4 linked regions of the Kluyveromyces lactis genome follow. The protein of the gene in region 2 purifies or fractionates together with the protein of the main gene of each other region. This does not show direct contact. Links are inferred from orthologs where the notes say so. Each region holds a gene or a part of one and is shown on either strand. Other genes may lie near its edges. The genes, in order: RPN7, RPN14, RPN8 and RPN9.

Region 1 (3,010 bases), on a different chromosome or scaffold from region 2:
AACCCAAAGCGAGAATCATACCACTAGACCACACGCCCTATATAATTTTGATGTTCCTTTCTTTGACAACTTTGCCACCATACAATAGAGCATCCACACACGTGACTGACAAAAAACACGATCCCACCCTCAAACACTAAAAAAAAAAACTCGAATTTGTTCAGTGTTAACTCGTCGAAATAAAACACGTCTCTTCTTTGAATCAAAATTGGTTATCTGTTTACCTTTATGCTACTTAAGACCACTATATATCGCTATTACCAAGTCAATTGAGCGAGGAACGAGGATATAATAATGCTATACTCTATTGTTTCAGTTCTATTGGTGTTTATCAGTGGATTCTGTGCGGCAGAATCCAGTAACTATGCACCATTTGCGATTTCATTACCTGCATTCTCAAAAGAATGTTTATACCATGACTTGATGTCTGCTGACGACGCCTTAGTGGTAGGTTACCAAGTGTTGACTGGTGGCAACTTTGAAATCGATTTCGAAATCACTTCCCCAGATGGATCCGTCATTATCTCGGAGAAACAAAAGAAATACTCTGATTTCCTATTGAAATCGTTTGGTATCGGTCAATACAAGTTCTGTTTCACAAACACTCACGGTACTGCGCTGAAGAAAGTTGAACTTACGTTAGAATTGGAAAAGAGGACTATGGGGTCCGAGAAGGAGAATCCAGAGGATGTGATCACGAACAATGCAATCGAAGAGATCGACAGAAACTTGAACAAGATCAGAAAGATGATGGACTACCTGAGAGCCAGAGAATGGAGAAATATGTCGACTGTGCAATCTACAGAGTCCCGTATTGTATGGCTATCCATTTTGACAATGGGTATCATGGCCAGTATCAGTACTTTACAAGCTACCGTCGTCCATTTCATGTTCAAAGATCGTCAAAGAAACTATGTTTAAAGGAAAGAAGGCGTGTTTTCAAGAGACCGCTTCATATAAGTATGTACATATGCGTGGATAGAAATACGTAGTACAGCGTACATTGCACAATGACATCTTAAGGTTACTGGATCCTGTGAGGAAAGGCTCACAGGCTTTCGGTATATGTGTGAATATCCGGGTAAGTAATTCGTTAACAAATTGTAAGAACTAAGACTTAAACACATCTAATATAGGAAGAACACAATCATTTGCCACCATCAAACAGAGGGGAACAAGGCATCAAAAGCTGCTTTAGCGTACCAGGGAAGTTACAATTCGAAACAAACGTTATGTCTGAAGATACTGAAGTTCAATACGTGGATCCTAGTGTGAATCGTGTGCCAAATTACGAGGCATCCGATCATGCTTTTGTCCTTGGACAAGGGAATCTCTCTCATCTACATGAAGCCTCAAGGGATGCTTTGTTGAAACTGATCAGAGAAGATCATATGGCTCCATATTATAAACATGTGTGCGAAGAGTTACCCTCGGGAGCCATTGAGTGGGATCAATCCTTTTACGATTCGTTAGTGGCGAAGAACGAAGAAGAGATTAAGAAGTTAAAGGATCATTTAACTGAAATTGAAGAGAAAGACGAAGGTGAGTTGGAGAAGGCTCAATCCTGGATCAATTTAGGTGAGTATTATGCAAAGATTGGTGATAAAGACAACGCCGAGGAAACGTTGACCAAGGCCTTGGATAAAGCTGTGTCTACTGGTGCCAAGATCGATATCATGTTAACTATAACCAGACTTGGATTCTTCTACAACGATCAGCATTACGTGAAGCAGAAGCTAGAAGGAGTCAATGCGATGATTGAGAAAGGTGGTGATTGGGAAAGAAGAAATAGATACAAGACTTATAAGGGGATCCATTCGATGGCCATCAGAGATTTCAAGACCGCTGCGTCCTTACTAGTCGAATCGTTAGCCACTTTCACTTCTACCGAGCTTACCTCGTATGAGAACATCGCTACCTACGCGTTCGTTACTGGGTTATTTGCATTTGAAAGGACTGATTTGAAGGAAAAGATTATCGATTCGCCTGACTTGCTAGCGTTGATGACAACGACGCCAGCGTTACAATCCATATCCTCCCTTTCCATTTCACTTTACACTTCCGAATATAAAAGTTATTTCCCATATTTGTTAGAGACCTACGACAAAGTGCTATTGCCCTCCAAATATTTGAACCAACACGCCGATTATTTTGTAAGGGAAATGAGAAGAATGGTTTACGCTCAACTATTGGAATCTTACAAGACGCTCTCGATAAAATCGATGGCTGGTGCATTCGGCGTCTCTGAAGATTTCTTAGACAAAGATCTAAGCAAATTCATACCAACGAAACAACTCAACTGTGTCATCGACCGTGTCAACGGTATAGTAGAGACAAATCGGCCAGATAACAAGAACGCTCAATACCAACTTCTCGTAAAACAGGGTGATGGATTGATTACAAAACTACAAAAGTATGGTGCGGCTGTTAAGCTTACAGGCACCGATCGTATAATATAGTGGTAGTAGTAGCAGTATAGTAATTATACAGAGTATATAGCTCGAACAAGTATTATTTCGATGCGATGATAAAACCAACGATAGGGTCGAGACACTAATCTTTTGCTTTGTAATGAGAAACCGAAAAAGAATGCGCCTCAAAGACTCTTAGGGCTACCCTCATTTTAGACCTCTTCACCTTACAATTCTCAGTATCGCTATACCGGATTCTGATCGCCAGTTACGTCTTTTGCTATGGGCTGGAAATGGATATTTAACGTTGTCTTCTTTAACGGGTTCATAGGAAGTTCCGTAAAGGTTTTGCTTTAATAGCAAAGCAAATAGCAAAACAACCAAGAAAAGTGCACAGAGGTCGCAGCGCTACCCAACAGAGGCCGAGTGTAAGGATTTAGTACGATACACTACGAGAAAATAAGGGTAGTATGTGTTAACGACGCAAACGAACAGAGGAGAGAGGAGACTACTACTTCCTGGATTACTTCCTGATGGAGTTACCGGATTATCGAGAGAAAGAGGGAGAGATAAACACGAGATACCCTCAATGTTGCTTT
Region 2 (3,040 bases):
ACCTGAATAGTGGACTCAAGTTCTTTTGTAATATGCCCACTGTAATAGTCCATTTTTGAAAGTAGACTAGAGCAATTGGTCTTCAATTCTTCTAATTGGCTTGTCTGGAAAGATGATAACAATATGTCGACGAATGCTTGAGGTACAAAATCATCATCGAAAAACATGTCTAGCAAAGGGTCATTAGCACCAGATATCCTTCTACTCATCGTGTAGGAAATTATAGTGCTATATCGTCCTTCAAAGGTGATTTGGTGGCTTACTTGGGTGTTTCATGATCATCATATTTAGAGGTAGAAGGTTAACTTCTTCATTTTGATGTTAAGATTTCAAGATGATTTTTGGTGCCTTCAGATGCACAGTAAGAAAGGTTTAAAAGAGAAGGATACAATATCAAAGCAGATATTACTATACACATTGATGAGAGCAACGTATGGATAATTTATTGGACTATATATGGGTATAATTCTATTTACAATTCTATTGCTTCTCTTTTAGACTGGACGACAAATCAGTATTTCAATAGCATACCATTTTTTCCGACGCACCAAACATTTTGATGTGATTCATCAACACAGAAATCAGTCACTTCATCATAAGGACGAATTAGATGTGTAAGCTTATTGAAATTGAATTTCCCGTCCAAAACAGGTACATTGAAAGCAAATTGGACCCCACTAGAAACGTTCAACGTGTTATGTGCCAAGAATAATCTTGAGATAGAATCATTATCATTTACCTGGAGCGTCTCCACCGGTTTGGAAACGTTACGAGTATCCCATGATACTATCGTACCATCCGAATAGCCAGCAAATAGGTAATGGTCATCACCTGCAATGTGCTGGCTCGTTAGAGTGACACATGCAGATTTACTTGCCGGTAAAATATCCAATATCTTCTTTCTGTTATAGATATCATGAAACGTGATGATACCAGAGTCGTGTCCAGCAAATACAGCTTTCCCCTCAGTATTGTATTCGTTGCTATGGTCCAATGCATTGTACGATGTGGTCGCTGGATTTCCCTGGTAATTGGCCAATGAAATACAATTTATGCCATCGTTTGAATTGAGCGTAAAGACACATGCTGAAGTTGAGCATTCCCATAGTTTTAATGATCCATCCGAACTTGCAGAGACGAAGTTTCTACCTCTATCGACCATGGCAAAATCGTTGACTGACCGAGTATGACCTATGAAAGTTCTGAGCTCAGTACCGGTTGAAGCATCCCAAATCTTCAAGCGCATATCGATACTACTGCTTAAGAATCCATGGCCGTTAGGGAAAAATTGGGTCTTGGTGATGTGACTAGCGTGCGCTTCCGGTAACTTTATCACTTCTTGTAATGGACCGCTATAATTGGTACCGGTGTTCTTCCGTAGCACATATATGCCACCATTCGTATCACCACAAACCAAACGTATCTCGGGGTCAAACACGTTCGTGATATCTATACTTGTTAAATCAACAGCTCCAATATCAGAAGGCAGTTGGAACCGTTTTTTCGGACTTTGAAACGAAGCTAAATGTCCTGCTGTCGCATCAGGTCCTGTCAATTCATATAAATGTGGCCTTACCCTTTGAAAGGAAATTTTATCAGAAGTATTCGCATTATGAAACCCAACATTACCCCTGGAATCTAACCGTACATCAAATTCCAAATCGTATAATGGCTCACCACTGCTCCTGGATACCCATATCTTATCGCTGGCAACCTTTTCTCCTCTCACATCATCAAGAATATCATCAAACTCACTGCAAATGTTCCATTCCTCAACTCTCATTATATTTAACTAAGGGAAAATAACAGGAAGGTATACAGTAAAACGGGCAAATTGTTTGGACAGTTGATATCCACAGGAAACCTGCTGACATTATTGCTCAAAATCCATAAATCAGAAATCCACTGCTGGTGTTTAAGTTGTTCATCATCAATGAAGGTAATACGTACCTGATGCTCAAAAAACCCAAAGTCACGTGAATAACCACCTGAAAGATAGTCATGTGATACTCACGTGTAAGACGCGTAAACGCGAAAGCAATTTCCTCGATTTTATCCCTTTTATTTTGGTTCAACGAAAAATTTTCGAATTTCCGCAGAGTATATAAAGGCGAACTGTAAATAAACAACGCCATCTCAGGGTCAGTTATAGATTAGCTACAGGTGAAACCCAGGCCAAGTCGAGTCAAGTAACGGATTTGTTCTGCTATTTGTCTTTAAAATAGGTAGAAGAAGATGGGTGTTCAACTATTGGAAGGTGATTTATTGGATATTTTCCGTATTCCGGAGAGGTACAACAATCCTACCGGCGGTATTTACCAGGTTGTTCAAACCAAGAAGACTGAGACTAATGCTAAAAAGAATTTGATTCTCATCAACGATGGAAAATACCATGTCAAGGCTCTTTTGAGGAACAAAGCTGCAGAGGCGGCTCAACAGGCAGAATTAGAAAGAGGGGATGTTTTCAAAGTGTTGAACGCGGAATGCGCAGTGATCAAAGAGAAGAAGAAGTTTGTGTTGTTAGTAGATGAGATAGAGATTGTTAGCCGTGGGTTAGATTTGTTTAATAATGCTACAGAATTTGTCGATGCTTATTTGGGTGAACATATGAATGAGTTGGTGACTTTGACTGATAACGGGGCCGTAGCATCCGAGGCTGCATCGGCAGCTGCGTCTGCTACATCGTCTATGACTTCTAAGATGGCTCCTACCAGTACCAGCAACATTCCAGCCCCACAACCACGTTCTGTGCCCAAGGCAAAATCGAATAATGGGTCATCCCAAAATTCAAGGCCTATTTTTGCCATTGAACAAATTTCTCCATATCAGAACAACTGGACCATAAAGGCCAGAGTTTCTTTCAAAGGTGATTTGAAGAAGTGGCAAAATAATAGAGGTGAGGGCCATATCTTGAATGTGAATTTGTTGGATTCTTCTGGTGAAATTAGAGCCACTGCGTTCAACGATAATGCGATCAAATTTAACGAGATTTTACAGGAGGGTAAAGCTTATTTTGTATCAAAGGCTAGAGTGCAACCTG
Region 3 (2,809 bases), on a different chromosome or scaffold from region 2:
GTTCGCTTTATCTATAACACTTTGTAAATTGATCATCGATTGTTTGTCATCAATGGCAAGGACCTCGAAAGAAACTAAATTGAAATCAGAGACCATTTCACCGATGGTTTCAGTGAGCCTTGAGTATTTTCTCCCTAATACACCCGACCCTTCCTTCTCAATAAGTGGATTTAGATATTCCAATTCTTGGACCTCCGTGAAGTAATCCAATCTGAAAGGCAACTCTCCGTATCCCTTTAGCATATCGATCTTTGAGAAGACATTGATGTGTGGAAGATCCATCATTAGCATCGATCTTAGTGCAAGTAGAAGGATCGAAACGTACTGCGAGGGAGAAGTAATGTAAATACAATCGATCAAATTCACAACACATAGCCTGATATCCAAATCCTTCTCTAGTCGTTTGAAAATCTTGAACAACGCCGAATTGTGTGTGAATAATTCGACTTGCCCGGGACAGTCAAAGACTAGGTATGCTTTCTCCTCTTGTACTAACGATTTGATCTGCAATATGAACAAATCGATCGACTCATTTAAAGACTCTATCGCATACATTAACCCACCATTCGGACCCAAATGCTGTTCTGACATAATCTCTTCTAGCGTGATATAGTCTCTAATATCGACCGAACACGGATACGGGAGCCGATGGTTGGCTGGATCCATATTTATCACTTGAACATGTCTTCCGATTGCATTGAAAAACTGGGAACAACCATGACAGTACGTTGATTTACCAGACCCTGGAGGTCCAATCACAATTTGGCCAAATGGCATCTTTATATTTATTTTCTAGAGTATACCCAAGGTCTTCGTACAAACCGTAAGCCGTCTTGTCTCCTCCCTAACCGTATAAACATGTCCTTTCATCTCATCTCATTGCACAGAATCTTTTTAATATTAAGCATTGAATTATGTTCGCTTCGCAGTTCCTAATATTTCGAGATTTGAAAATAAAAAAAATGAAATAGCATTAAGAACATTAGTGGCAAATATTAATTTGACAAAAATACCTGAAATAATGGGGCACTTGAAGATCTATACACTCCTGAAAGCGAAACTGTGATAATACTTTGAGATTGTACTAATTGAATTACCGTGACCAATCTAGCGTTTTGGGGTTTACTTATAAAAGAGAGTCAAAAAAAGTGCTTAGTCAATCTGCATTTCTGATAAGCTAAGAGAATAGAAATCAAACTATAAATTGGAAACAGCTTGGCAACAACCAATTGATAATGTCTGTACCTTACGAACAAGTTTCAGTTGCACCATTGGTGTTACTTTCCGTATTAGACCATCATCAGCGTACAAATACTCCGGAGAACAAGAGATGTTTAGGTGTCATTCTAGGTGATAGTTCCACGGCAACCGTGAGGATAACTAATTCGTTTGCGTTGCCGTTCGAAGAAGACGAGAAGAATCCAGACGTTTGGTTCCTAGATCACAACTACATCGAGACCATGAACGAGATGTGTAAAAAGATCAATGCGAAAGAGAAGCTAATTGGTTGGTATCACAGTGGTGGGAAATTAAGGGCTTCTGATTTAAAGATTAACGAGTTGTTCAAGAAGTACAGTACCAACAATAATCCCGTGTTGTTGATACTCGATGTGAAACAAGAGGATATCGGACTACCAACGAACGCATATGTGGCTGTGGAACAGATCAAGGATGATGGTACTTCGACTGAGCGGACCTTTATACATATCCCAAGCACTGTGGAAGCAGACGAGGCGGAAGAAATTGGTGTTGAACATCTACTCAAAGATGTCCGTGATCAAGCTGCAGCTGGTTTATCTATAAAGCTAACTAATCAATTAAATTCTCTTAGGGGCTTGCAAAGAAAATTGAAAGACATAGTAGCATACTTGGAAAAAGTGGCAAACAACGAGTTACCTGTGAACCACATAATTTTAGGAAAATTGCAAGACATTTTCAATCTTCTTCCAAACCTCGGAACCCCAGATAAAGATGAAATGATCGGCTCAAGTCATGTCTTAGACAATGTTACCAACAATTTGGAAAAAGCCCTCACAGTTAAAACCAATGACGAACTAATGATCATTTACATAAGTAATCTGGTCAGAGCCATAGTTGCATTTGATAACTTGATTGAGAACAAAATTCAAAATAAGAAACTTCTTGAAAAGCATTCGAAAGTTGAAGTAGAACAAAAGGAGGATGCCACTAATGACGGCATCCCTGCTGAGTCGAATTCGGTACCTACTAAGAACTGATGCAACTCTTTTAATAAACCGAAACGAAAATAATCAAATATAGTATTTTCTGTATACTAAGTTACAACTACGCCATATTTCCTAAAAATTTAATGAGAATTTAAATGAAGCAGTATGTATGTCTATATCTAAGATCAGCACCATTGGCATCGATATGGAACTGATCAATGAATTAAATGGATCTCCGGTACCGGTTCGTTAGTTCTCGTCAACCTCTTCAGATTGATTCCTTCTAATATATCAAATTCGCATCTCTTCATATAAGAAAATTTTATGAAGATTAAAGATCGAGGAAATTGTTCATTGCGCACAATTTTGAAGGTAAAAACCATTCTGAGACAACAGTGTATTTACCAGACCGAGGCCCAGTTAACCAAGATAATATATTCCATCAACTGCTAGTTGAAGATTGAGTATGTCACTGGTAATCCAGCCTCTACTTATGAGGGCATTGAACCCCAACTTATCCAGTATTTTAATATCGGGGCGTGGGTTTAGTTTGATTCAGCACAGACGGTTCGCGTTTAGAGCTGGATCTGGAAACAATAACTCCGAGCAAAACCAGGTTCACA
Region 4 (3,177 bases), on a different chromosome or scaffold from region 2:
AGAGGTTTCATGAATTTCATGTTACACGCAGAATGGTCTAAGCCAAAACCAAAGAAAGAAGAATGATAAACTGTAAGAACTCGCTGATCAAACTGATATAGTATTTTTTGAAGAGAAAAACTACTTCAAAACTAAGTTCTAAACCCATTATTTCAATACCAAGGTCTCTTTACTTCTACCTTCAAAGTTGTTGCATCTTATCTTACAGCTTATTTGTTCCCTACAATTTATCCCATTCCTTTCATAACATGGGATATCTCTGCGTAGCGTGACGTATGTGTATCCTAATAATCTTACTTCCTGGTTGAACAAATGAGCATATCACTCAGCATCATACGGTTATATTATATGACATTCTTTGACCCATTTTGCTCTCGAACGATACAATAGCATATGTGTATAATTACTACATTCGAGTACTATGTGTGTTACGTATCTACCTGTATATTACAAACTCCAAGATATATCGTCTAACTCTTTCAGAAATTCAAACCGATCAATGAAACATGTTGGTGGATTTCGTTTTTCATAGATATTAAGCGGATGTACGTAGTATATAATATGTGACGATACTTAAGCATTATACCCAAATACTTTTACCCCTTCCTTCAATCTTATTACCCAATTTCGACACTTCATCTTGCCATTTTATCAAGTTATCTTTCATTTTTTTAATTTGCTCTTGGTTGATGATCCTAGGCTGAACCCACGTAATTGTAACCAATTGTTGGACTTGATCTATTGATCCCTTCAACAATCCTAAGCTGATACTTCTCATTACTAAATGTTCAACACTGTCGATAGGTAAAAATGTGGCATCTGCAATATCGCGGAAAGACAACGTTCTGATAGACTTTGCAAACACGCTTTCTACTAGAGTCATCAAACAAATCTTTTGTCTCAAGAATGACTCATGTTGAGCTAAGATTGGTACCTTGGGAATTCTTTCTTTTGAAATTTGATCAAACTTTTGGAAATCCCCTTCAGTTAATGCGTTCAAGAATCTGAATAACCATTCGTATTCTTTATCGTTTGAAATACTTGAAATAATTGGATGCTGAAGTAGTTCACCGAAATTATAGATATTGTCACCTAACAATGCTGCAATGCACAAATTGTATGCCAATTGTTGTTGTTCGAGTTGTGTCAATCGCTGCTGTTGTTCTTCCGAAGTGATTGTTGAGAGATATAAAAGACTGGTATAATAGAAATTGTTGAAGTCTTTCTTTACTTGGTAATAGGAAGCGTTACACGAGTAGTAGGCACCGGTAACTCTGAGAGGTACCGAATCTTGAACATCAAGTGTTTTCCCAATAGCGTCTAGGATGTCTCTGACCTCAACTAGGTCCCCCTTTTCCAATTTCACACGAGCAATCTCAATATCTAACAACAAGTTCCCATTTACATGAGGTTTTAAACCATCGTTTCTTTGCTTCTTTTCATCAATTTCTTTGAATTCCTTTTGAAGATCCTTTAGATATTGTAATGATTCTTCTGTGTCATCGTTTTCTTGTAATGCTTGCAACAAAAACTCAACAACATTCAATTGGTTTATCTTGTCAATGAACTTACTGACAAATTGGGTATAAAGGCGAAGTCTGAACGATTCTGATTTGCTATCATGGAAAAAAATCGCTAGCTTCTCAGTTAACTGATGCCATAGCTTCCTCTCATACAAGTCTTCAAAATCGTCGAATAATGGGGCCAATTCACTATTGACTTCCTGCTTCAATGTAGATAATATGGTGTCAATTTCGTGTGTCATATTTTGACTATTTAAGCTTGCTGAAGTGCTGTTAGTCGTGCGATGTATGCCTTAATCTATAATCTTTAATATTCTGTTCGCCACCTTACATTTCAGAAGGTGTATCGATCTATATATTTCATATTTACAAAACGTCAATCGAAGCATGAAAGTCGTTAATAATGACAATTCTCCAAACAAATGCTGTGAGAAGTGGATGAACTAGATATGTGACAGCAAATCATCTCCATCTGCACTTTCATCATCAAATAATGTAGTTCAATGCAATACTTCATGCCTTTCTTTTTGAGATATAAACCTTTTATATGCTATCTATAGACTGTTTGGCATTTTTCCAAGACTCTGAACAATCCTTTAACCATGATGTTATATTGTGGGCTAGTTCGCGGAAAATGAGGAACCACTTCTCATGGAAATATTTCTCTAAGTTATTCAAAGAGTTATCCATTGACTCATTGACTTGTTGTAAGTCCTTTTCGATGAGTTTGAAACATTCATTCAGTTTTTCAAGTTCCTTTTCTAGTTTGTTTACCTGTACAACCCGTTCGTCTTTAGTTAGAAGATGAGGTTCGACTTCACTTGAAATCGAATCAGATCCAGACTTGTTGTTTGGAGATGCTGATGACCTGAAAAGCCCCATTATCTGTTTGTCCGTGTGATTCTTGTTTGCTGACTTACGCGTCATGGAGTCCATAACTTGAGCAACGGTGGGTGATTCCTCTGCATTTAATTTCAATGCCTCGCCCAATCGTACAGCTTGTAGGTCTGCCTCTTTCAATTCACGGATTCTATCTTTCCTCTTCTTTATCGTAGTTTCAATTGTGTAAAATTGTTCTTGCTTGAAATTTCTGAAGTGAAGAACTCTTTGTGCTTCATGAATGAACTGAAGCATTTCTTTGCTTCCCTCTTCTAGACTGATCATGATTGCTTCACTAAATATCTCTGCACTAACATAATTCACATCGATTGCTTGACCTGTCTTCTCTATTCCCATCGATAGACGATTCATTTGTTCAAATAATGCACTCACTTGAAACACGCTATTCTCTAGACTGAACGCGTTGAAATACGCGCCGAGTTCAGATAAAACAGCCGAATAAGTTTGAATATTCGACCTTATACTTCTAACGGTCTTGTTCAAAGGTTGTAGGATCGCCTTGTACCTGATGAGATCTGAATCGTAATCCGCGAACTTGATCTCCATCACATCGTTCCGGCCTATCAATTGTTCATGCTTACGCATTGTCAGCACCGTAGGTGTTGGCAATAATAAATGTATGGGGCTTGGTTTCGTGGGATTTAATGGAGGCGCTAAAAGATTATTCATTGGTAGGATTGAGATCGGTGGGGTATTTAAAACTTCCTTCCAGAAATATTCTGGATTCAAGAATTTTTGAAACACGATATGATTC

What was found.
Region 1: the proteins of RPN14 (region 2) and RPN7 purify together in Saccharomyces cerevisiae (affinity purification with mass spectrometry; 3 studies listed by BioGRID, with this or other methods). This does not show direct contact. The link is inferred for Kluyveromyces lactis from reciprocal best matches to the Saccharomyces cerevisiae genes RPN14 and RPN7.
Region 3: the proteins of RPN14 (region 2) and RPN8 purify together in Saccharomyces cerevisiae (affinity purification with western blotting; 4 studies listed by BioGRID, with this or other methods). This does not show direct contact. The link is inferred for Kluyveromyces lactis from reciprocal best matches to the Saccharomyces cerevisiae genes RPN14 and RPN8.
Region 4: the proteins of RPN14 (region 2) and RPN9 purify together in Saccharomyces cerevisiae (affinity purification with mass spectrometry; 3 studies listed by BioGRID, with this or other methods). This does not show direct contact. The link is inferred for Kluyveromyces lactis from reciprocal best matches to the Saccharomyces cerevisiae genes RPN14 and RPN9.

The regions. Positions count from the first base shown.
Region 1 is NC_006040.1:1,236,958-1,239,967, forward strand, and holds RPN7 (proteasome regulatory particle lid subunit RPN7), read left to right. Parts: upstream 1-1,232; coding exon 1,233-2,459; downstream 2,460-3,010. Other genes in the region: ERP4 (Erp4p), read left to right, coding at 295-921. UniProt on the Saccharomyces cerevisiae protein: Component of the 19S cap proteasome complex which acts as a regulatory subunit of the 26S proteasome, involved in the ATP-dependent degradation of ubiquitinated proteins.
Region 2 is NC_006037.1:775,703-778,742, reverse strand, and holds RPN14 (Rpn14p), read right to left. Parts: upstream 1,784-3,040; coding exon 512-1,783; downstream 1-511. Other genes in the region: Golgi transport complex subunit COG7, read right to left, coding at 1-209; replication factor A subunit protein RFA1, read left to right, coding at 2,236-3,040. UniProt on the Saccharomyces cerevisiae protein: Acts as a regulatory subunit of the 26 proteasome which is involved in the ATP-dependent degradation of ubiquitinated proteins.
Region 3 is NC_006039.1:826,874-829,682, forward strand, and holds RPN8 (proteasome regulatory particle lid subunit RPN8), read left to right. Parts: upstream 1-1,235; coding exon 1,236-2,237; downstream 2,238-2,809. Other genes in the region: GTPase GPN2, read right to left, coding at 1-777; COX10 (protoheme IX farnesyltransferase), read left to right, coding at 2,653-2,809. UniProt on the Saccharomyces cerevisiae protein: Acts as a regulatory subunit of the 26S proteasome which is involved in the ATP-dependent degradation of ubiquitinated proteins.
Region 4 is NC_006038.1:62,872-66,048, reverse strand, and holds RPN9 (proteasome regulatory particle lid subunit RPN9), read right to left. Parts: upstream 1,766-3,177; coding exon 581-1,765; downstream 1-580. Other genes in the region: TIF35 (translation initiation factor eIF3 core subunit g), read left to right, coding at 1-66; SNX41 (Snx41p), read right to left, coding at 2,067-3,177. UniProt on the Saccharomyces cerevisiae protein: Acts as a regulatory subunit of the 26S proteasome which is involved in the ATP-dependent degradation of ubiquitinated proteins.